Linked DNA regions of Danio rerio. The protein of the gene in region 5 interacts with the protein of the main gene of each other region in a biochemical or structural test. Links are inferred from orthologs where the notes say so. Each region holds a gene or a part of one and is shown on either strand. Other genes may lie near its edges. The genes, in order: ambra1a, dtl, rbx1, si:ch211-202a12.4 and cul4b.

What was found.
Region 1: the proteins of cul4b (region 5) and ambra1a form a complex in vitro, tested with the Homo sapiens proteins (2 studies listed by BioGRID, with this or other methods). The link is inferred for Danio rerio from reciprocal best matches to the Homo sapiens genes CUL4B and AMBRA1.
Region 2: the proteins of cul4b (region 5) and dtl form a complex in vitro, tested with the Homo sapiens proteins (2 studies listed by BioGRID). The link is inferred for Danio rerio from reciprocal best matches to the Homo sapiens genes CUL4B and DTL.
Region 3: the proteins of cul4b (region 5) and rbx1 form a complex in vitro, tested with the Homo sapiens proteins (4 studies listed by BioGRID, with this or other methods). The link is inferred for Danio rerio from reciprocal best matches to the Homo sapiens genes CUL4B and RBX1.
Region 4: the proteins of cul4b (region 5) and si:ch211-202a12.4 form a complex in vitro, tested with the Homo sapiens proteins (2 studies listed by BioGRID). The link is inferred for Danio rerio from reciprocal best matches to the Homo sapiens genes CUL4B and UBC.

What each region holds. Positions count from the first base shown.
Region 1 is NC_133182.1:39,574,441-39,578,869, reverse strand, and holds the start of ambra1a (activating molecule in BECN1-regulated autophagy protein 1A), read left to right. Parts: upstream 1-1,502; 5' UTR 1,503-1,706; intron 1,707-4,429. Other genes in the region: acp2 (lysosomal acid phosphatase precursor), read right to left, coding at 853-936. UniProt on the Homo sapiens protein: Substrate-recognition component of a DCX (DDB1-CUL4-X-box) E3 ubiquitin-protein ligase complex involved in cell cycle control and autophagy.
Region 2 is NC_133195.1:14,376,748-14,380,974, reverse strand, and holds the start of dtl (denticleless protein homolog), read right to left. Parts: upstream 3,032-4,227; 5' UTR 3,008-3,031; coding exon 2,953-3,007; intron 2,877-2,952; coding exon 2,751-2,876; intron 2,654-2,750; coding exon 2,561-2,653; intron 315-2,560; coding exon 253-314; intron 147-252; coding exon 26-146; exon of another isoform or gene 1-25. UniProt on the Homo sapiens protein: Substrate-specific adapter of a DCX (DDB1-CUL4-X-box) E3 ubiquitin-protein ligase complex required for cell cycle control, DNA damage response and translesion DNA synthesis.
Region 3 is NC_133178.1:23,848,491-23,852,811, forward strand, and holds the start of rbx1 (E3 ubiquitin-protein ligase RBX1), read right to left. Parts: upstream 2,863-4,321; 5' UTR 2,828-2,862; coding exon 2,750-2,827; intron 1,237-2,749; coding exon 1,158-1,236; intron 320-1,157; coding exon 249-319; intron 163-248; coding exon 77-162; intron 1-76. UniProt on the Homo sapiens protein: E3 ubiquitin ligase component of multiple cullin-RING-based E3 ubiquitin-protein ligase (CRLs) complexes which mediate the ubiquitination and subsequent proteasomal degradation of target proteins, including proteins involved in cell cycle progression, signal transduction, transcription and transcription-coupled nucleotide excision repair.
Region 4 is NC_133180.1:42,862,365-42,866,399, reverse strand, and holds the start of si:ch211-202a12.4 (polyubiquitin-C), read right to left. Parts: upstream 2,801-4,035; 5' UTR 2,735-2,800; intron 72-2,734; coding exon 1-71.
Region 5 is NC_133189.1:38,074,964-38,078,719, reverse strand, and holds part of cul4b (cullin-4B), read right to left. Parts: coding exon 3,691-3,756; intron 2,073-3,690; coding exon 1,968-2,072; intron 1,860-1,967; coding exon 1,749-1,859; intron 1,650-1,748; coding exon 1,564-1,649; intron 1,474-1,563; coding exon 1,366-1,473; intron 111-1,365; coding exon 1-110.

The DNA.
Region 1 (4,429 bases), on a different chromosome or scaffold from region 5:
GTTATGGATGTGACAGATGTGAAATTGACACATTTGTGACTTTGGTAATCAAATAGAATGGCTTGAAAACACTGACAGATACGTTTTTGAGTATTTTTAGAGTACAGTAAAATACAAGCCTAAGCAAAAAAATAAAAAATAAAAAATCTAGAAAGGGTTTCGCTATTTTCGTGAAACATGGTTGACATTTGCATGGAATTGCTCCATAAATTACCTTGCAGACACTTTTTCTATCTTTATCCATTAACGTTACAAATGGATTCAGTACAAGTTAGCCCTTGGTTTACCAATTCGTTCATATGACAGACATTCTGTAATAGGCTTGCAGTTGCATTACTAATTTCAGAGATCTTTCTCACCTAAAAGCCAAGCAATAATGTTACCCTTACTAAAAAAAATAGGTGACATTTAACCTACAAAGGTGTTTTATTGCTTTGACGAAAATGGGAGGTGAAATGAAGCAAAACAACATGTCATGTGACGGTCTGCTCTTCAGATTGCTCAATCTGTACTTTAATGAGGAATTAATAAAGATCAAGTCGAAAACTACATTTTACCGAAATTACAGAAAATGCGAAAATCTGTAGAAAGCAAAACATTCGAGAGAGAAACACGAATTTAGACATCAACTAACAGGTAATTACAGAAAGGCACACAGCTGAATAACAGAAATATGACACCCCTAAAGAAACACACGAGGCACATAATAAAAGGTCTGACTGAGACTTCGCGTTGTCAATGTTTTTAAAACGAAAGGTTTTGTAAATAGCTTCAGGCCCCGGTTATTCAGTTACTGTCTGTTACATACTTAACGTTTGTTTTTTTAAAGGACAGATGTATTATTAAACTCACCACAGTGACAAACTTTAGCGTCCTCTCTCCACTGGAAAGACTGAAAGCAAAGAGAAAGGCAACAATCACAAAACAGGAATCCATACTTGCGGACGAGCGGATGAGGCACAGTACAGTAACCTCATTGAAAGATCGTTGCCTGGCTGTCGTGGCTGATAAACACAAGACGAGCTGCAAGCTTTTCCGGGTAACGGAGAGCTGCCATTGGTCAATGTGTTCAGCAGCTTCAAAAACACGAGCAGTGATTGGCTCTCACGAACGGAGAAGGACTTGGAGCAAAACAGCAAACAATAGTTGATTGTTTTCTCTTTGTTTAAGGTGCATGACTTCTCCGTCATTTGAAAAAAAAATTCTGAATGAAAATCCCCTCTTTTGTTATTCAATTGGTATATATGTTTGACTTAGTTTATGTGTAATCTAACATTTAGCAAGACTGAATATGTGAATAAAAATTATTTGATCACTTAACTGCCCATGATCAAATATAAATATAGGACAACGGAATGTGAATGTAAATATAACTTGGCTGTTTAGCACAAGATTTCATCTTGACTGGTTCATCTGTGTTTTTTTTTTTGACAGATCAACCTGATTGGCTGGCTCATGAACGATGTTTTCGGTAATTGATTATGAAGGATCTGTGCTCTACTGGCTTTGTCTGGACTCGTTTTGGCAGGACACACACAGCAACAAATCTAAAGTACACACGACCCACTTTTGGGGGAAAATAAAAACATTACAAAAATATTCCTTAAAGAAAATCTGAAATATTGCTAAAGTTTCACCTAACGTACTTCCGCTACTACATATCTACAATTTCATGGATTAAAATCGGACAAAAATAAGAGGAAAAGGTAGGCCGAACCTGAGACCATGAGAGGTGTTGTTTTAAATTTATACTGAACAAAAGACTCCTAATTTAAACACTATGTAATTGTGTGGATTGATACTTTGCCTCGCATGTAAATTAGCTTGCTAACTGCTAAATGTTAAAGCTGTAAAGTTAATTTCTTTATTAAAAAGTAATTATTGTAATTTAACGTTAACGTTATAACCTTCACTAGTTGCTTTATTCTGTGACAATGAATTTACTGTAATGAGTGACACTCCTTTTATTGCAGGTTAAACTTAACTTATATATGTCTAACGTTAGCTGGAGTCAAACATGAGCTATCTTTGACCTGACGTGCTATAGTGTCACAAAACGTGTAAAGCTTTTCCACGTGTTTTAACCCTGTTATTTTGGTAATTGCATTCCTGTAAATAATAACTACGTATTTATAGTAGTCTTTGCATTTTTGATAGTTAAACTATGCATTGTTTACCCATGTAATAGTTTTTGTTTGTTTTATTTTTTAATTTATTAATTTTTATTTACTGCTTAATTCTTTATTAGTAGAACTGAAATGGAAATATGGTTAGCTTTTATTGTAGTTAGACTCGTCATTGTGTATTGTGTATTAGGTATTGAGGTCTCTGTTCAGTTAGATTGTTGTGTGAATATCTTTTAATGTTGTTACTATTTCAATTTTTTAAGTAAAGCATACACTTTAAAAGTATGATTGTGTTCAGTATTATGTTGTTTGAAGAAAAATACACAGTGTTCATTAACTAGAATTAAAAGTAAATTTCAAATGTATTCAATGTTACTTTTGCATAGCTAAAAAATAACAAAAAATAAATTACCATAGTTAACTTGACATACTTTAAGTTGACTTAAAGCCTGTGTGGAAAACCTTATGAAAGAAAAAGTAAACTTTTTGTTTAATTTATGTTTAATTAATGATTTTTTTCTCTGTCAAGGTGTTGGCTATGAAAGATGAAACCTTTATTTTTTTTAAATCTATAAATTAATAAATAAATACACAAATATATAATAAACGAGTAAATGTATATAAAAATCCACAAATTCCTGCATAACTCAATCAGGCAGGTACAAAATTTAATAAATTACACGAATGTTACGGGAATAAGAAAATGGTAAACTGAAAGCTCCACCCCCCGCCCCCTCCCAAATGTTTATTCATTCTTGATTGTAGTTATGTATTTACCTTTCCTCAGTAAACATGCTAATGAGACTGGTTCTGTCAATCATCAGAAAGTGGTCTTCATGCCATTATTGGTTGATCGTTAGAAAACATTTGCTTTTCATTAAAAAAAAAAAAAACTATAATTTTTTTTTACTGGCTTCTGATGATTGACTGCTCTATTAATTATTTATACATTTATTTATGCAGAAAGTTTATATATATACACATTTTTTTTGCTTATTTATTGTTTTATTTATGCATGAATTTATGGATTTATTTACTCATTTATTTGCGTATTTATTTATTGTTTTTGCGTCCTCCATAGTTGACTAATTCATCATAAGACAGGGTTTATACAGTCATGGAAAACCTGGAAAAGTCATGGAATTTTGACATGGCATTTTCCAGGCTTGGAAAAGTTATGAAGATTAGTTTAACAAATATCAGTATACTTAAATTAGGGCTGCGCGATATTGGAACAATCTGACATTACAATATTTTGTATTTCTGTGATATGTTGCGACGAGAATATAATTTCACCAGATGATTTAAAAGTTTTATTTTTGATTGATTGGGGTGGGGGGGGGGGGGGGGGGGGGGGTTGTTAGAGAGTGAATCCCGAATAATATATAACAAATAAATTACAAGCATAGATAAATAAAACATAGTCAAGATAAAAGTGAATTATAGTTTTCAGGTATTCACTATTTCGGTACAGATATTGAATAATTAACACTGCATAGTCTTCGTTCTATATTATTTAATCTTTAATTTAGTTACCAAAAAATTTCTTTTGGCCCGATTTTTAAAAAATTGAAATATTGAAATGTTTAACAGTCACAGGTCTTAAAGGGACAGTTTACTCAAAGATTAAAATGTACTTACTATTTACTCACACTTCAATTGTTTCAATACTATATGAGTTATTAGGTTATATTATTTTTGTCTTTATTTAAAAAAAAGAAAGCTCATAAATGTTTAAAACAAGTGAAGGGTGTAATAAAAATGGTAAGTAATTTTTGAGTGAACGATCTCTTTAAAATGCATACAGATGATAAACTTTTAGTTCATTTTGATTAAACTCTAAATTAAACTATAATCCCATCCCAATATTGCATATCCTGCGATGTGACTATTGTGAATGCACACATTACTTTATCAATGCTAAAACAATATATTGTGCAGCCCTAACTTGAATATAGGATAGTTGTTTTCTTTTCTGTCCTTGGCCAAAATATTGTTCTCACATTGTTAGTGCTGTGCAAGCTTTATCAAAAAAAATCAATAAAAAAACTAATTTAAACAAATTAGTTAGTTGCGTGTTCTATAATATGCTGTTATAAATTTGAACGTTATTGTTTTTCTTATTATTAATCATTTATTTTTAGATATTACATGAAATATTATGTCATGAAAATGTACTTGAAAGTTCTGGAAAAGTCATGAAATTTTAGTAGTAAAAATGCATATGAACCCTAATTAGATGGAAAAGTAGACCAATGCTGATTAATTTTTTCTCACTACTATTTCATGCCCTTTCTATTCAT
Region 2 (4,227 bases), on a different chromosome or scaffold from region 5:
AAAGTAGCTGAAGTGTTATTGTTACCTTTCTCTTGCTTGTAAAAAGCTACTGATTTGAGACTGCATTGATGTCCTTTAAATGTTCCCAGCAGGTCACCAGTAATAACATCCCACAGACGAGCAGTTTGGTCACCGGATGCAGTTACCTGCAAATGACAATTCCCATTTAAGACAACACTTATAAATCTACAGAAAACAAAATGTCTTACACACTGAAAAAGTCTATAAACAAAAAAATCATTCAACACTTACTAAGCAATTGGTTCCAGGAACCCAGGCAATATCAAAAACTGCATTATCATGTGCCTGCCATTCTGGAAAACACACGTTTTACATCAATGAAACACCAAAATTTAATTAACAAAAGTGATTTTGTGCATGTATAAATCACTGTCAATGCAAAAAGAAGTTTCTACTATAATATTTAAAATAACCTTGTGATATTGCCGTTTCACTGGATTGTTTTAAGAAACTTCTTAAGAGTCACCTTTTTACCGTTGCTTTTAACCTAGATTATTTTTGTTATTTTATAATCCTATTGTAGTGAGCCATTCATATTTTATTGCAGTCTTTTTATTTTATTTTTTGACTGTTTTTATTGTTCTGCTTTGTTTGCCTTGTATGCCTGTTAGCGCTTTGGGGCTGAAAAAAGCGCAATATAATGTATTATTATTATTATTATTATTGTCAAATATAGGTGAAATAATGTTCCGTCTTCATTCAGCATGCATAAACAGATATAGATATGTGTGAGTGTAAAAATTAAACATACTTATTCTGCTCTTATTCTATTCAGAGAATAGAAAACGTTATCCTACTTAACCTTTCTTTTATATTCACACAATCTGACAGAATTTAAAAGGGCTAATATGGATTATCATGATGTACTATTATGAACAATGCATTATACGTATGTAACTGTACAACTTAAATACGCTTATTCAACTTATTCTCCGTCGATGAGCGGGCGCTGCCATTTGAATATTTTTGGCTTGAAACTTCTGGTCTCATTCACTTCCATTCATTTTTTGACGTTAAAAACTGCTTATTACGCTGCTTGATGTTGCAATTTGATATTTTCTTATTATATTATTCTACTTGGTCTGTATAGTCATGCAAACATTTGTTTTTAGAGCAAGTAGTTTGACCGTTTTCTGCCGTTTATTATTCCTAGTCATTTCTCCCATAGGCGACTGAATCGAAAGTTCTAAGACAATCGTGAAAACAGGCGCACTTCCGCATTTTAGAATAAGGTCAATAGCTATGGAAGGTTGTAACGTCATCATTTATGTAAGGAACTGTCTACAAATTAGCACTTTCAATCAGAATGTTAATCATATATTTAAAGATATGATTGAATAAAAAAATTCATTTGAATATATAATGTGATGCAAGTGATGTGTGCTGTACAACTGTAGTCAGCTAAAATGCAACCATTAATTTAAAAAAAAAAGTGATCATCTGAAATCTGAGGAAGCATGTTCCTGCTACTGATAAAAAAATATTTTTAAAAAAGGTAATTGCAACATTTTCTCAGAATTCTAACTTTATTTGTGAATATTGTGAGGCAATATCTCCCAATTCAGACTTAAGAACTCAAAATTGGCTCATTGGCTGCTAATATCATTTCCTTATTTAGAATTGATTGCAAATAATTTTTATTTTGAATTTAGGTTAAGCAGGATAAACTCTGAATAGAAAAATCAACTTTACCAAAAATAAATATTTCAGGGCTTAACAATAAGGACTGCCAGATGGCCCTGGTCAGTATAAGAGACATTCAGAACAGTAGACAGGATCATAACTTGCCCGATCGGGCTTTCATGTCACTAAGGTTTAATTTGGCTGAGACCATTTGTCAATTGCATGCAAAGGCAGCCTAAGAATCAAGTTTCTGCTTTTAAGCCTTTTAATGTTACCTCTTCTGTGATGTCATAAACACCATGTTACATGTTCCTTTTAAGTGATTAGACGTTCTGAGCACATACTTTTTTTCCATAACCTGGTAACAAGATAGCAACATCAAATTATGAGGCTAAACGAAAACATGTTTCTAACCTCTTGGAAACCTACATTTATGTGGGTACAAAAAAAACAAGTGATGTGTTGCCCAGTTTGCTGTCGGTTTGGCAGGTCAGCCACATTTTGATTTGCAATAAAATACCTGCACATTTTCCATACTGCCATTTTTGTTTGCATAACACTTTGATTTTTGCATATTATATATTTATTAACATTTGTAAAACACTTAAATTCTAGATTTATTCCCATTTTTGACACATTGTTTAAAATATGTGGCTAAGAAATAGTTATTAACTTTTTTGGTGTGGTTACAATGAATGACATTTCCGAAACAAGATTTTAAAAAATTATGACAGTATGACAAAAAAAAATGTTTTTCTATTTTATTTTCCTAACAGGGGAAACACAAAGCTTTATTGCACTTTTTGTTGAGATTTCGGTCAACCCATTTTATATTTGACGCCAATAGGAAATAGGGTTTTCCAAAAGCGAACTAGTTTAAACCTTTAAAATATTTCCAGGTAAACTTGAAGCCAACCTTTCAGAACAGAGCTTTGTTTTTCTCCAGTGTTGAAGATGGTCACAAACCCTTCTTCGTTGGCTACAGCAAGACAGTTTTGTTGTCCATGAGCTAAACATAGAAAACAAACCAGCACAAACATAATGTCTTTGCACAATTCTGTACTACTGACTTCGAACTCATTGTGAATGCAGAAATAAATGTTTACCGGAGGAAAATGTGCATCCGAATGGCGGCACGGCAGCAGCGGAGGCTCCATAAGAGATGTGTTCATCCCGCCGAGCGCATTCATAGCCGTCCAGCAGAGACGACAGAGGAAACAGCCGCTGCTCACCTGATTATTACAAAGTATTTCAGTGTAAATAGTGTAATAACGCTGGTTTAGGTTAACGTATATTCAGCAAACTCACCATTTCGTCCTCTTTTTTTAGCCCCTCGATCAACAACATGGTGAAAAAGAGTCATCGCTGCAGGATGCAAGTCGCGTTCAGAAGTGGTAAGTTTCCCGCGAACAATGAAAAAGCGCTGAAGACGAATTCCCCGCGAGATGGACGAACAGTGTTCTAATTGGTCGACACGTCAGGAAACAGGAAGTGTTAAGCCACTGCGAGCGGAGTGGAATGGCTGCGAACACTAGAGGCGCCATGTGGCCCCAAAAAAATCCGGGTTAACATTAACATTAACAATATATATATATATATATATATATATATATATATATATATATATATATATATATATATATATATATATATATATATATATATATATATATATATATATATATTCATTATTTCATTTATTTCCTTTTTGGCTTAGTACCTTTATTGTTTTGGAGTTGCCACTGCGGAATATGGTTTTACGCAGCGGATGCCCTTCCAGCTGCAACCCATAAGTGGTAAACATCCATACACACTCATTCACACACACACACAAACACACACACACACACACACACACACACACACACACACACACACACACACACACACACACACACACACACAAAATTTAGCCTACCCAGTTCACCTACAGCATATATTTTTTTAACCCACGCAAACACTGGAAGAACATGTAAACGCCACAGAAACACAAAAACTTAATCTTATTAAGAATAAAAAACCCTAAAATTCCTGAAATATTATACAGATGTAGGAGATGCTTAAGTTTAGTTGCTTTCCTTTTGGTTATTTGTTTAAGTGTCATTGTAATTTCATTCATTTGTTTAATTTAGTTTGTTTAATTTAGTAATTTTGTTATTATCATAATTTTATTATTATTAATATTATAATTATTAATATTTTCCCTTTCAGTCTAATGATATGTTATTTGTATGTGTTTGTGATAATTTTTATGACTGTGTATACTATTGATCATTTTAAAGTGATCTCTGGGATCCTTTGGATTTTGTTCTGATAGCAAGCAATAATATATATATATATATATATATATATATATATATATATATATATATATATATATATATATATATATATATATATATATATATATATATATATATATATATATATATATATATATATATATATATATATATATATATATATATATATATATATATAATTTTGCAAATGATTAAATAAAAATTATGATAGCATGAAGAGCCTAAAAGCTGAGCAGAGGTTTAGACTAATCAGGGTAAATGCCGACTCATAAGCCCCGCC
Region 3 (4,321 bases), on a different chromosome or scaffold from region 5:
ATTGAGTTTGAGACCTATCCCTTACACGAAGCTTGTGAATTTGACTTGATTTGAATGAAGAATCAAAAAGACTTACTTCTGAAACTCCCACTCTCTGTTGTCCAGTGGACACACTTGTCTGGTCTTCAGCCAGCGGGAGATGCAGTGGAAATGAAAAGCGTGCTGCAGACACACACAAAAACAAACACACCAGCATTACACCAGCACCAAACAAACCCAGAGCTCAAAGTGTGTGTGATTATACTCACATTGCAGACTCCCCAGGCCACCGTACACTCCTCTGAGGTGGCAGACGCCTGATTGGCCTGACACTCAATACCTGAAGCAAACACAAGAGTTACAGATCAGCTACAGCTCATCTAGACCAGTGGTTCCCACAGTGGGGGTTAAACTTTGACACCTTTACAGCTTTCACATACATTAAAAATAATACAGGCTACAACAGAACATGGAGCAAGCTCTCACAGTGGCAATCTCTAAAATTAAACAATGAATAGATTTGGGCCTACTGGTATGTGTGCAAGGTTTAAATATTCATCACCACCTTAGAGAATATTGGGGGGTCGTGAGTAGGCATGGGCCAGTATAAGATTCTGACGGTATGATTACCTCGGAAATAAATTTCACAGTATCACAGTATTGAGTACCTCACAGTATTGAGTATTTCACAGTATCACAGTATTGAGATAACTGCTCTAAAATATAATCTTTTTAAATATCTGGGTACAAAACAAAACCCTTTTCCCCTTTGTACACACTATATGTAAATTTGGGAAACATATAAAATGTTTTGGAGAAGTAAACATGTCAGGCTAAATAATTCTAATGAATTATTGACTTCTGCTGTCTTCATTTGTTTTAAAAAAATCTGATTATTTTTACAATTTAAAAATGGCATCTTTGGATATCTTTTCTGGAGATACTACTGTCCTAAAAATAAAAAGTAAAAAAAAGATCGAACTCATACCTTAGGAACGGTATAGGAGAAAATTTTGAAGGCTTTAAAACCTTGACCTTTCCAAACCTTGATATACATTGAACACGGTTTTCATCCCACGGCTAGGCGCGAGTCACTGGCATTGTTATTTTGGGGGTCGTGGGCTGAAAACACCTGATCTAGACTAAACCTAAAAGACTAAAGCAGCTGTTATACTTACAGAGGTCCATAATGTGATTTCTGCAGATGGCACAGTTGTCCACTACAATGTCCCATGCCCACAGAGCCACAGCGTTCCACTGCAAGACAAGCAGAGTTTATAATCATAATCTTTATTAAAAATGCTAACAGCACCTTTTCTCTTAATGACACATGTACAGACACAAACTAAGCCTAAATATCCTCCACCAATGAGCAGCGCTTCCACTCAGTTATACATCATAATGAGGAAGAAAAGAAGCCAGCAGCCATAACATTTGTAAAGGAACATAGTGAAAATAAGTTGTGAAAACAGTATGCGAGTACAGTATGAAAACTTATTTTAAAAACATTTTTTAAAAAGTATATCTAAATTCAAACCGTTCACGGTGATCGTTTTGAATCCAGATTACAAATTGGTAATCTGGAAACCAACTACAATATTCCACAAAAAATATACATTCAGAAAGGGTTTATGATGCCTGAAACTGTTGGAATTGAACATTGAGAATGAGCTTGCAACGCCTCACACTGTTGGAAACAAATATTTGAAACAAGTTTGCAATACTAGAAACTGTTAAAAATCAAGCATTTGGAGGGTGTTTTCAATGGCTGACATTGTTGAAATCAATATGAAAATGAAATGGAGTAACATTAGGTATAATATCTGTCTATAACACAGGTGTCAAACTCCAAAAGGGTCAAGTTCCAAAAGGGCCGCAGCTCTGCACAGTTTAGTTCCAACCCTAATTAAACACACCTGATCAAACTAATAGAGTCCTTCAGGCTTGTTTGAAACCTACAGGTAAGTGTGTTGGAGCAGGGTTGGAACTAAACTGTGCAGGGCTGCGGCCCTCCAGGAATTGAGTTTGACACCCCTGGTCTATAACATTCAAACATGTCCGTACCTAGCTTTTAAAAAGGATGCACACAAGTCAAAATTTACTTAAGTAATAAGTATAACATAATTTATTGTACATTGTATACACTTATAGAATGTTCAATTCCGTGTGTAATATGTGAAATTCACTAAAATGTTTGCATCGAACTTTGAGGGGGGTAAATGTGTTTAAATGGAATGTTCGGAATGTCACTATGGTGACTAAAAGTGATGGAAACGAACGTTGGGAACATGTAAATGACGTCTACCGATAATCGAATAGAGCGTTCGGAATGCGTCTATGAACCTCAAACGGTTAGAATCGAATGTGCTGTAAGCGGCTGCAGTGTCCACAAATCTTGCCTAAAAAACTCGCCAAGGTCTGGGAATGATCAGCGCTGTATTTCGTTCTTTAGTGGCCTACTTCAATAATCTCTGGGATTACGCTGCAGAATTTATCGGAGTTCAAATAAGAAGCACATTGGGCGAGCATGTAACATATTTTTGCTTGACATTAGCTTGTACTCATTTTTGTGACACTTTATGAGGTTTTTGTAAACATGAAAAGCATAGAGGCCGGTGATTAAAATGATGATGTGAAAGAGCAGCGCGGCTAATGCTAACTGGGTTTAACACACCGCGGTGAAAGAGTGTTATTTTAATTTTAAAGAGACTAAACGGATGTGAACAAACAGTTGACAGCAATCATTAACGTGAACTTCACAATTACTTACCTTTTTCACTTCAAATCGCTTTTTACTGGCTCCGCTGTTAGCTCCACTTGGGGTGTCCACATCCATCGCGGCCGCCATGTTTGCTAATGTCTGATGATCTCGCGAGAAAGAGTGAGAGTGAACAGCTACTCGGTTTATAATCTTTTACATGTAAACGTGTGAATTAAAGCAATTGTGTATACTATGATGTTTTTAATATCATTCATATATTTTTTTTTATTCCAGTTTAATCAGACACAATCTAGTCCAAATTACAGTCGAGTTAAAAGATTAGGTTCCACCGAGATTTGAACTCGGATCGCTGGATTCAGAGTCCAGAGTGCTAACCATTACACCATGGAACCTGTTGGAAGCTAAGGCCCACTGTTTCCAGATTTGTACCATCTACAATACCCTACCACTATTATAAACTACATTGTCGGAATCCTGCATATTATATAATTATGACCGTGTTCAACATACATCAAATCAGTGCAGTGCAAGTGCAGAGCTTTGAAATGATACAGGAGATTACATGTTACCAGGATTTACAGATAACATTAAATGCCATCTATATATTTTTTTATTTCACATATTCATATTTGCTTTTTTTTGACAAGTTTTGCGAACAGCTACCATGTAGACTTATGTAAACTATACACAATTCGTAGTTTTTCCACTATTTTACACATTTGTTTACATATAAAGTGACGTTACTGGAATGCTCAACCGACTTAACATGTAATATCATACAGTTAAGTGCGTGACAAATATATATATATATATATATATATATATATATATATATATATATATATATATATATATATATATATATATATATATATATACATATACATATACATACTAACACACACACAAACACACACACACACAAAAGCATATAACGTTACACAAGTATTTTCAGAGGCCCCAAAACACTATTGTTGTGTGGATGCATTAAAATTGCACAAATTTTGATTCAACAAAGATTCAACCAAAGAATTACCTGTAAACAAATCTGCAGAGCTACTACCACATAGTAGCTAGCTAATAATTGTATTGTTTAAACAAAAAAACACACATGTACGACTACTTAATCCTAACAATATAGTCATCAATATGTATATATTTATCGTTATCTCTTAGTGTGGGCAAGCCAGCATAAGCAGTTAAAGCATTTAAAGACAATAGTTACTTAAGAAAAAATATGATCTACAGACTTCACACAGCCTCCATTTTAAAAGCGAAAGAGAGTCTGCAGTGGAAATAAACCTGGAAGTAACGCCTGGAGTCACACAGGAACGGCATCCAAGATGGCGTATTGTTGTGTACCTGGATTTATATCTTATCAGTGAACACAAATTTATAATTTCACCACTTTCCGAGTGACCCGAAGGTCCTTTCTGAATGCATGGTGAAAATAAAAAGGCATATCGGACCTTATTTTCCCCTAAGTTAAGGGAAATGGCACTAGTTAGCAAATGTTTTCTTTCCACCAGTGCTTAACAGAAATGACTGTGATTGGTCGTAAAGGTCATCAGTTCACTGCACTTCACCAATGTTTACAGAATGCAAACGCAGACAAGCGAT
Region 4 (4,035 bases), on a different chromosome or scaffold from region 5:
TCAATGGTGTCACTTGGCTCGACCTCAAGGGTGATGGTCTTACCAGTAAGGGTCTTGACAAAGATCTGCATCTGTAAACAAATTATCAAAAGAAGATTAGCAATGACTAAAATTTGTACAGATTTATACGACTGATCTAAGATTTTACCTTAAATCTTCAAAAAGAAATCTTTTTGGAACACCACATGTTAGAGTTGTCGCGATACCATTAATTCACGTTATAATACTATACCAGCTGAAGTATCACGATACCATATAGTAATGCCATACTGTAATTCATAACTCAAATTATAAGGAAAATTGTCATAAATACTATATTTTATATGTTATAATAGGTCTACTTGAGTTTCATTAAATGAATGATGATTAAATGAATTTAATTTCAATTAAAGAAATAAGTATTATTTGCACACTATTTCACCTAAAATTTATTTATACTTTGTTTATTTTGTAGATAACTGATCAACAAAAAATACATTAGAATAAAGATACAAATAAACAAAATGGAATTTGTTACGAAAAGAGCATTTTTAAAAAAAAAATTATGAAAGTGATGAAAAATATAAGTGGTCAAAAGTTGTTCAAATATTACTATTTTGGGTTTTTCCATTTATTTTTTTATTTTTTCAGCCTTATCAGGGAACAATCCAAAGTAATTAAAAATATTTTTTTAAGACATTAAGTTGTTTTTAAGAGATTGCTGCGGTTGCTGTAGCTATTAAATCACATTGCCAGAAACAGAATGAACCGCTTCAGGTGTGCGTTTGAAATGTTAAAAAACATGCAACCTTAAGGGGCTCCACAGACTATTCAAATAAAATGGTCTATTGATGCACATATGTGTGAGCATTAATCACTTTCACAAGCAACACTACATAATATAGATAGACCGGTAATGAAGATACTACCGTTTACAAACTACAGTGGCACTGCCAGTATTTTGAAGCCACAGTATCGTGATGCTACCATAGTACCGGTAAACCGTGCAACCCTCCTACCACATATAGTATCTGTCAATCTGAGAGCATAGGCTTAATTCAGGGCAGGGCTAATGTGTTAGCACATCTATTACAATACAGAATGATTTTAGCTCATCCTTTCACAAACACAAGTTCTAAATCTTTCTCTGACCCCCACTAAATGTTTTATTAATCTGACGATAATTTAAAACTTCTCACTTTGAGACTTCCATGACGATGCATCAAGTTTATCATGTGACATTGCAGCCCTGAAGATTTATGTATATAATTTTCTCACTTATTTTGTCATTTTATGCAAACATTGGTTAACATCCTAAATATATTAGAAAATATCATATTCTGATAAATGAATATTATGATACAAACGCATCCATTTCCATTTCACAGATTAATAATGATCATGGGTGCCACCATGTTAGTGGAGGGATGCTGGATTTACAACATGTTAATTTATCAAATTACATGAAAGTGCCTGTTTAACTGGAAGAATAGAGTAAATGTTAGTTACCCTAACAGTTTGAACAAGGACATTGTCACATTGTGACAAATTATTATTAGCATATTAGCAAATTATTAAAATCTTTATTTTATGCCAATATCAATCCAGATGCTTCAAGCTTAAGTTTTTCTATAGAGCACAACCCTGTAGGGGTGATTTCCTCTTACCTGAGACAATAACTTAAGGGTGTCTCCTAGGTAATAGAAATCATTACGTGGACATGCATGCCTTGTAAAAGCTACTCTACATTAACCCAGAATCAGCTTTACAGAAAATAGTTAAAATTGAAACGGGGGTTATATCTATCTATCTATCTATCTATCTATCTATCTATCTATCTATCTATATCTGTGCACTCAAAATTCCGCAAATTTAAGTCCATGATTAATTCTATTTATTTACTAGAGTAAATGTGGGTAAATCTATATTTATTTACTTTTTAATAACAGTAATATTATTGACTTGTATGAAAATGTTCATCTGATTTATATACGATGCAGTTTGTACAGTGATTCTTTGTCTTTTAGTAGATACATTATATTAGACTTGCTTTGTTTACCAAATAAAGTGAATCTAATTGGATTTGCATTTTAAACATTAAATGAAAGTTTAAAAGATATTATTTTTAAATTCATATATTAAGGTTTTAGTTATGATACTCCCAAAATAATTCCGCAGAAATCCGCAGATTTTTAGCAAAATTCTACGCAAAAATAGCAAAAAACGCCCGCAGATTCCGTCTGGTCCTACATATTAAAAATGTTTGTTTTTTAGAAATATAATAAAAGTTGAGTTATGAACTTGTAATTTCATTCATACACTATATCGAAATAGTTATTTATGTTAACATTACCTCCTAAATTACATAAAACAATAAGTTACATAATTAAAAAATTGCACAATGTCATCATTTAAAAACGGTAATGCGCAACAACAAACATGGCCGCTGTACAGTAATATCCGGGTTCTTTGTTCATACAGCGCCATGACTCAGCATAATTTAATCTGACAAACTGCGACATTGAACAATTTAACAATTAAAAAGCAAACGTATCAATTTGGGAAAATAACATCGTATGAGTATTACTCTAGTCAAAGCATTAAGGACTGTAAAATTACTTCTTTACATTTAGTTAGGATGTCGAGGATATGAGCGCCAAAATCAATACAATAAACAGGAATGACGAAATATCAATAATAGTATACCTAAAGGTCTTTATGAAGGTTCTAAATCGAACTGGAATAGCTTTCTTACCTTATAAATATCGCTGAAACTGCTTCTGAAAGTGAATAAGTTCTTCTCTTCTTCGCAGAAAAATCAGCCGATGAAGCGAGTGAAACTGTTTTTATACAAACCCAACAGCGTGACGTTCTCATGTCACGTGAGCGGGTCTTTTAGTAGTCAAAACCTTTTTTTCGTTTGAAAAATTAAAATAAATGTTAAAACTATGGAATTATTTGATTTTTTAAAAATAAATACAAGTTATGTATCAATATTTGAAACGTATAATTTAATCATAAATTACCCATAAAGGAAGTTTCCACAATGTGCTGGAATGGGCTGGACTTGTAGGACAACCTGCAGGCAGTGATTGGCTGGTTTAGTGTTTGTTCGCTTTGCTATTGGTGATTCAGACAAGACCAGGCAAAGAGAAGAACTGACATACTGTATAAACAAAAATAGAACAGTCTGGAAAGATACATCGTATTACAGGACCAGAGATTATACAGCATTATAAAATATGAATTATAGTTAGTTGCGTGGGTTCCAGTGGATGTTTTGGTTGCTTAAAAGAAACTGATTGTGTATGGTAATAATGAACCCTGATATTAACTTCAGGGTACAGCTGAGTAAAGTGAGCAGGCAGAAGAATGGGAGAACAAAAAAAAAAACATTTATAAGGATACATTTGCGTGGAAAACAGAGCAAACAATAAAAATGTGATAATTGCAAGATTATACATTGGTCATACAGCGCAAAAAAGTTTGTGTAAAAAATTAAACAAGTTACTGTCATAAAAATGCTTAATAACAAATTACATAATTCAAGAGAGAATAAATAGAATTATTCTGAAAAATAACTGAAAGAAATCTGAGTAAAGTGTTAATCACACATTAGAATTACCACATTAAAGAGATCATTAAGGTGTCATCTGGATTGTTGAATGTCTCCGGACTGGAAAATTAGGTTTAAAAGTGGTTACAGTTTTTTAAGCCCCCAACCAAGTTTCATACTCCAGTCCTATAGGTGGCAGAAATGCACTTTCTCAACCACCAACAAAAAAAAATACATGATGGATTCCAATCTGAAGGGCTCATTCCTATGCCCTAATCCCTTCAGAGGGTTCCTCTAAAGAGATTAGCGCATAGGGATGAGTCCTTTCGAATTGAGTGTAGTGTGGAAAACCACACAGCTTTCCTGCTCAAAAGATAATTTCCCACCAAAGTATAATTAAATGATAATTGACACCAAGCAGCTTCCCTGCTCAAAGGATAATTTCCCAAAATGTTCATCGGTTTTATTTTTCAAACTCATTTATTCCTAGGGGGGCTTTT
Region 5 (3,756 bases):
TTAAATTCCGCCTTTAAAACACAATGTCCTAACGTTGATTGCCACTGTAGTTTCCGTCCACTGTGTTTACCCAGGTAAAACGTTTTGAAGATCTCTTGCAATCTCACCATCTAGAAAGCAAAGGGTAGCAAAATAATCAATTATGACACACTTAATTATTAGCAGTACCCTTAAAAATTAAGGGTACTTCTGTCAAATTTAATAACAATGAAAAAGCTCATATTTCTAGGAATGTAACAATTCACCTGACTCACGTTTTGATACACGATAGTAATGTTGTTATATGGTTTAGTCACGATTTTGTAATACAATTATTTGGAACAAATTTAAGATGAAGAGTCTTTCATTTTTCTTTCTTAAATGCTGCATATTTTTTACAAAATAATACATTTTTAGTCATAACTAAACTGCTATTTAAAAAACTAATTCCCCAAAATAATAATAATAATAATACAAACGAAAGAAGACTCTTTAATATAAACAAGCTAAAACTGTGACTGTGCTGGGATTTAACATTTTAAAAAAATATATCAGCATATCTCTGTTTTCTGGAATAAGCTGAGGTCTTTGCACATTTACAATGTCCCCTGCTGATGAAAGAACTCTTTCATTGGGGACTGAGATGGCCAGTGTGGAGCGGTATGCCTTTCCTAAACCAGAGAGCCGTATGTACAGAGATGGTCTTCTCCAGGGGACTGGCCACTGGCAAAAAATACTGATTATAAAATTACTAATTGTATAGCAGGATGGAGAGAGGAGTTGAAGATGATTATGAAAGTAATAATTAATTTTATTTGTATAATTAATTAGTATAAATATCAGTGTAATACACTTAAGTGATAATCTTGAGGGTTTTTTTTAAATATTCAATAATAATATGCAAATTATTAAAATATGTATAAACTTATTTGAAAAGGAGAGGGTATAATAATCTAATACCTGCTTCTGTAACAGAACAACTTTCTCTTTCAGTCTGAAAACATCTTCATACTTTCGCTATGCACCATGTACTCGTCGGAGGAAACAGCGCTGCAAATCATCTAACTTATAAGTCTTTTTGCGTATAGTCATCTGTGACAGTAGTTTTTCACTGTGCTGACTGTTTATGTGCATCATATTCATTGTTTTGTTGGTGCAAGTAAACGTCTTTGCAGTATTTGCAAACAGTTTTTTCGTCTGCAGCACTTCACCGCTGTCATTTTACTGCCACCCCACCTCTTGCTCGCCGCACAGCGCCCCCTCTATTGAAAAAATGTATCACAATTCGTTCAACATTTCTACAGGTTTGAATCATAAAATATTTTAATTGATTTTCAACCGGCTCATGGTGAATCGCTACATCCCTACATATTTCTCAGAACTGACCTCTGCTGGCAGATGTACTTCCATAGGGACGTATGTTGGCCAATAGCCCATAGTGAGGATGTTCACTGTCAGCTCAATGTTACCAGGAATATTTTGGCACTGCATATGCTGAAATACAGAATGAAAACAGAGATTTGCTAGATAAAAACGAGACACCAAAGAACATGAATAATAGAAAGAAAATAAAAGCTCCCTTACCTGTTTGAACTGCACCATAATATCTTTCGACAGCTCCATGTCTTTGAACATTCCCTCCAGTTTACTAGTAAATGCTGCTCCACATTCTACAAAAAAAGAAACACAATTTGCCATTTTTAGTTTACAGTCTACAGAAAGATTTGCGAGGGTTTGGAATCAAACATAAAAGGAGAAATGTAATTTACCATGCTTCAGTTTTGACAGCATTGATTTCTCTGCATCTACAGAGGCACTCTTTCCCACCAGTAACCTCTTCGCTAAGTCTTTCTTGTAGAAGGCTTCAAAAACATCTTTGCCTTTAAAAAAAAAAAAAAAGAAATGAAAAAGTCTATGAAGCTTAGCTGTTTAAAAATGTAAAACTCTCCAAGGCCTCAGGAACAGAGCATTAAGTTTAAAAGCATTACCGTAAATGAACCTGAATATGATCATTATCTTGTCCAACATTTTCTCCAGCTCCTCATCAGTTGCCTCTTTGTTCCCAGCACGGAGCTTTGAATCCACATATTTTGCTGCAGAACATAAAAATCACAACATTTAGGAATATCAGTAATTCCAATAATTAAAGCATCTTGAAGCCCTCAAGAAAAAATCCTCAATTTCACCCTTCGCTGGCTGTTTGACTGACAGACGATTTGGTAAATCATAATGCCGATATTTCGTCCCCCCTGTGACTGTTTACTATTTTGTTTGACAAGCAAAACACTCCAACAAACCAGGTGTAGAATGTTAATATTAGCAATTAACGCGATAAATGGTGAAAAGGTGCTCGTATGGGATTTGCAACACAGACAGCAGGTACATACACAAAGTGTGGGCAAGTAACAACTTCATTCATTCCCCAAACCTGCCCAAAACCTGGAGAAGTGTGTGTAAAGGATGCACTTGTGTTGATGACTTCACAATAAATTAAGGTTAATGTTTGGTTTATTATGCGGTCACATGCTGAACAAACAACTTAAAAAAACCGGGAAGCCTTGTCTTTTTCGAGATGCCAGCATTTGTGTGTTCGTGAATGATGTGTTGAGGAATCAATGAGAAACATTTGAACTGTATTTTGCAGAAATTAACTAAATTATCAATTGTGCTGATTGAGAGTCAAAGGTCCGAGTTAGTCAAATGATCCAAACTTCCAATTAATACTGACTGTAGGCTATAGCTTCAATTCACACAGCGTTTCTGCATGACTCATCAAGTCAAATTTAAGACTTTAAGACCAATATGAAGAAAATGTCAGAATTAAACAGGCCCCTTTTTTCTAATGGCCTAATAAAAAAAAGTTTAAATAATGTGTCAAATCAAGCAAACTTGTATACATACACTTTTTCTAACAATGTTTATTTAAAAAAAAAATAAACTGAAAAGTTTTAAAAACTATAATAAAGATCAGTGTCTTCACCAGGTAGCTATAAATACATGGAGAACTTTTAAACCAATGTTACAGTAGGGAAGATAATGAAACTATATTATTAGTAAATTTTATTATGATGGATTGATGGTGACTGAATAGGCGCCAACCTGATTTGACCAAGTAGGATATGTTCCTGTATTAACATCTATATTGATCCTGGAACAACATTCCAATCAGCCAATCAAGAATGAGGAATATGTTTAACGTTAATGTTAAGTTTAGGCTTACAGTTTATACACTTCTACATGATTGTTATACAACTATTTTCGGCTATGATTTTGGGAATAATTTACAGTTATGGTTGGGTTTAGGGTAGGGAATTACAAGGTATGGAATACAATTGCGAACAAAAATTATGTTTCAGGATCAACAAAGATGTTAATCCAGGATCTGTATAAAAGAATTGAAATACTACAACACTATCTCAGTGAGTTTTAGACATTTTAAGGGCTAAAATTTAGTTTTAGAAATTTAAGACTTTGATACACTGCAGAAACGCTTTTCACATCCTAAATATATCCCCCAAATGTGTATTGCAGGCATTTTCATTGCTCCTCTCTGAAACCATTACGTAATTTTACCAGAATTGGAGTGCACAAATTTACAATAATTTCCATGGCTGACACTGAAAGCTTGTCGGATATAGCAATATTAACGAAGAAAAGGCAGTGCTTTGTGAGGGGTGATTTTTTGCAATGAAAAACAGTTCATGTACTCACCTATGAGCTCTGCAGGTTTGTTTGGCCGTTTGTTGATAAACGTCTCGAAGGCTTCCTTCATGCCAT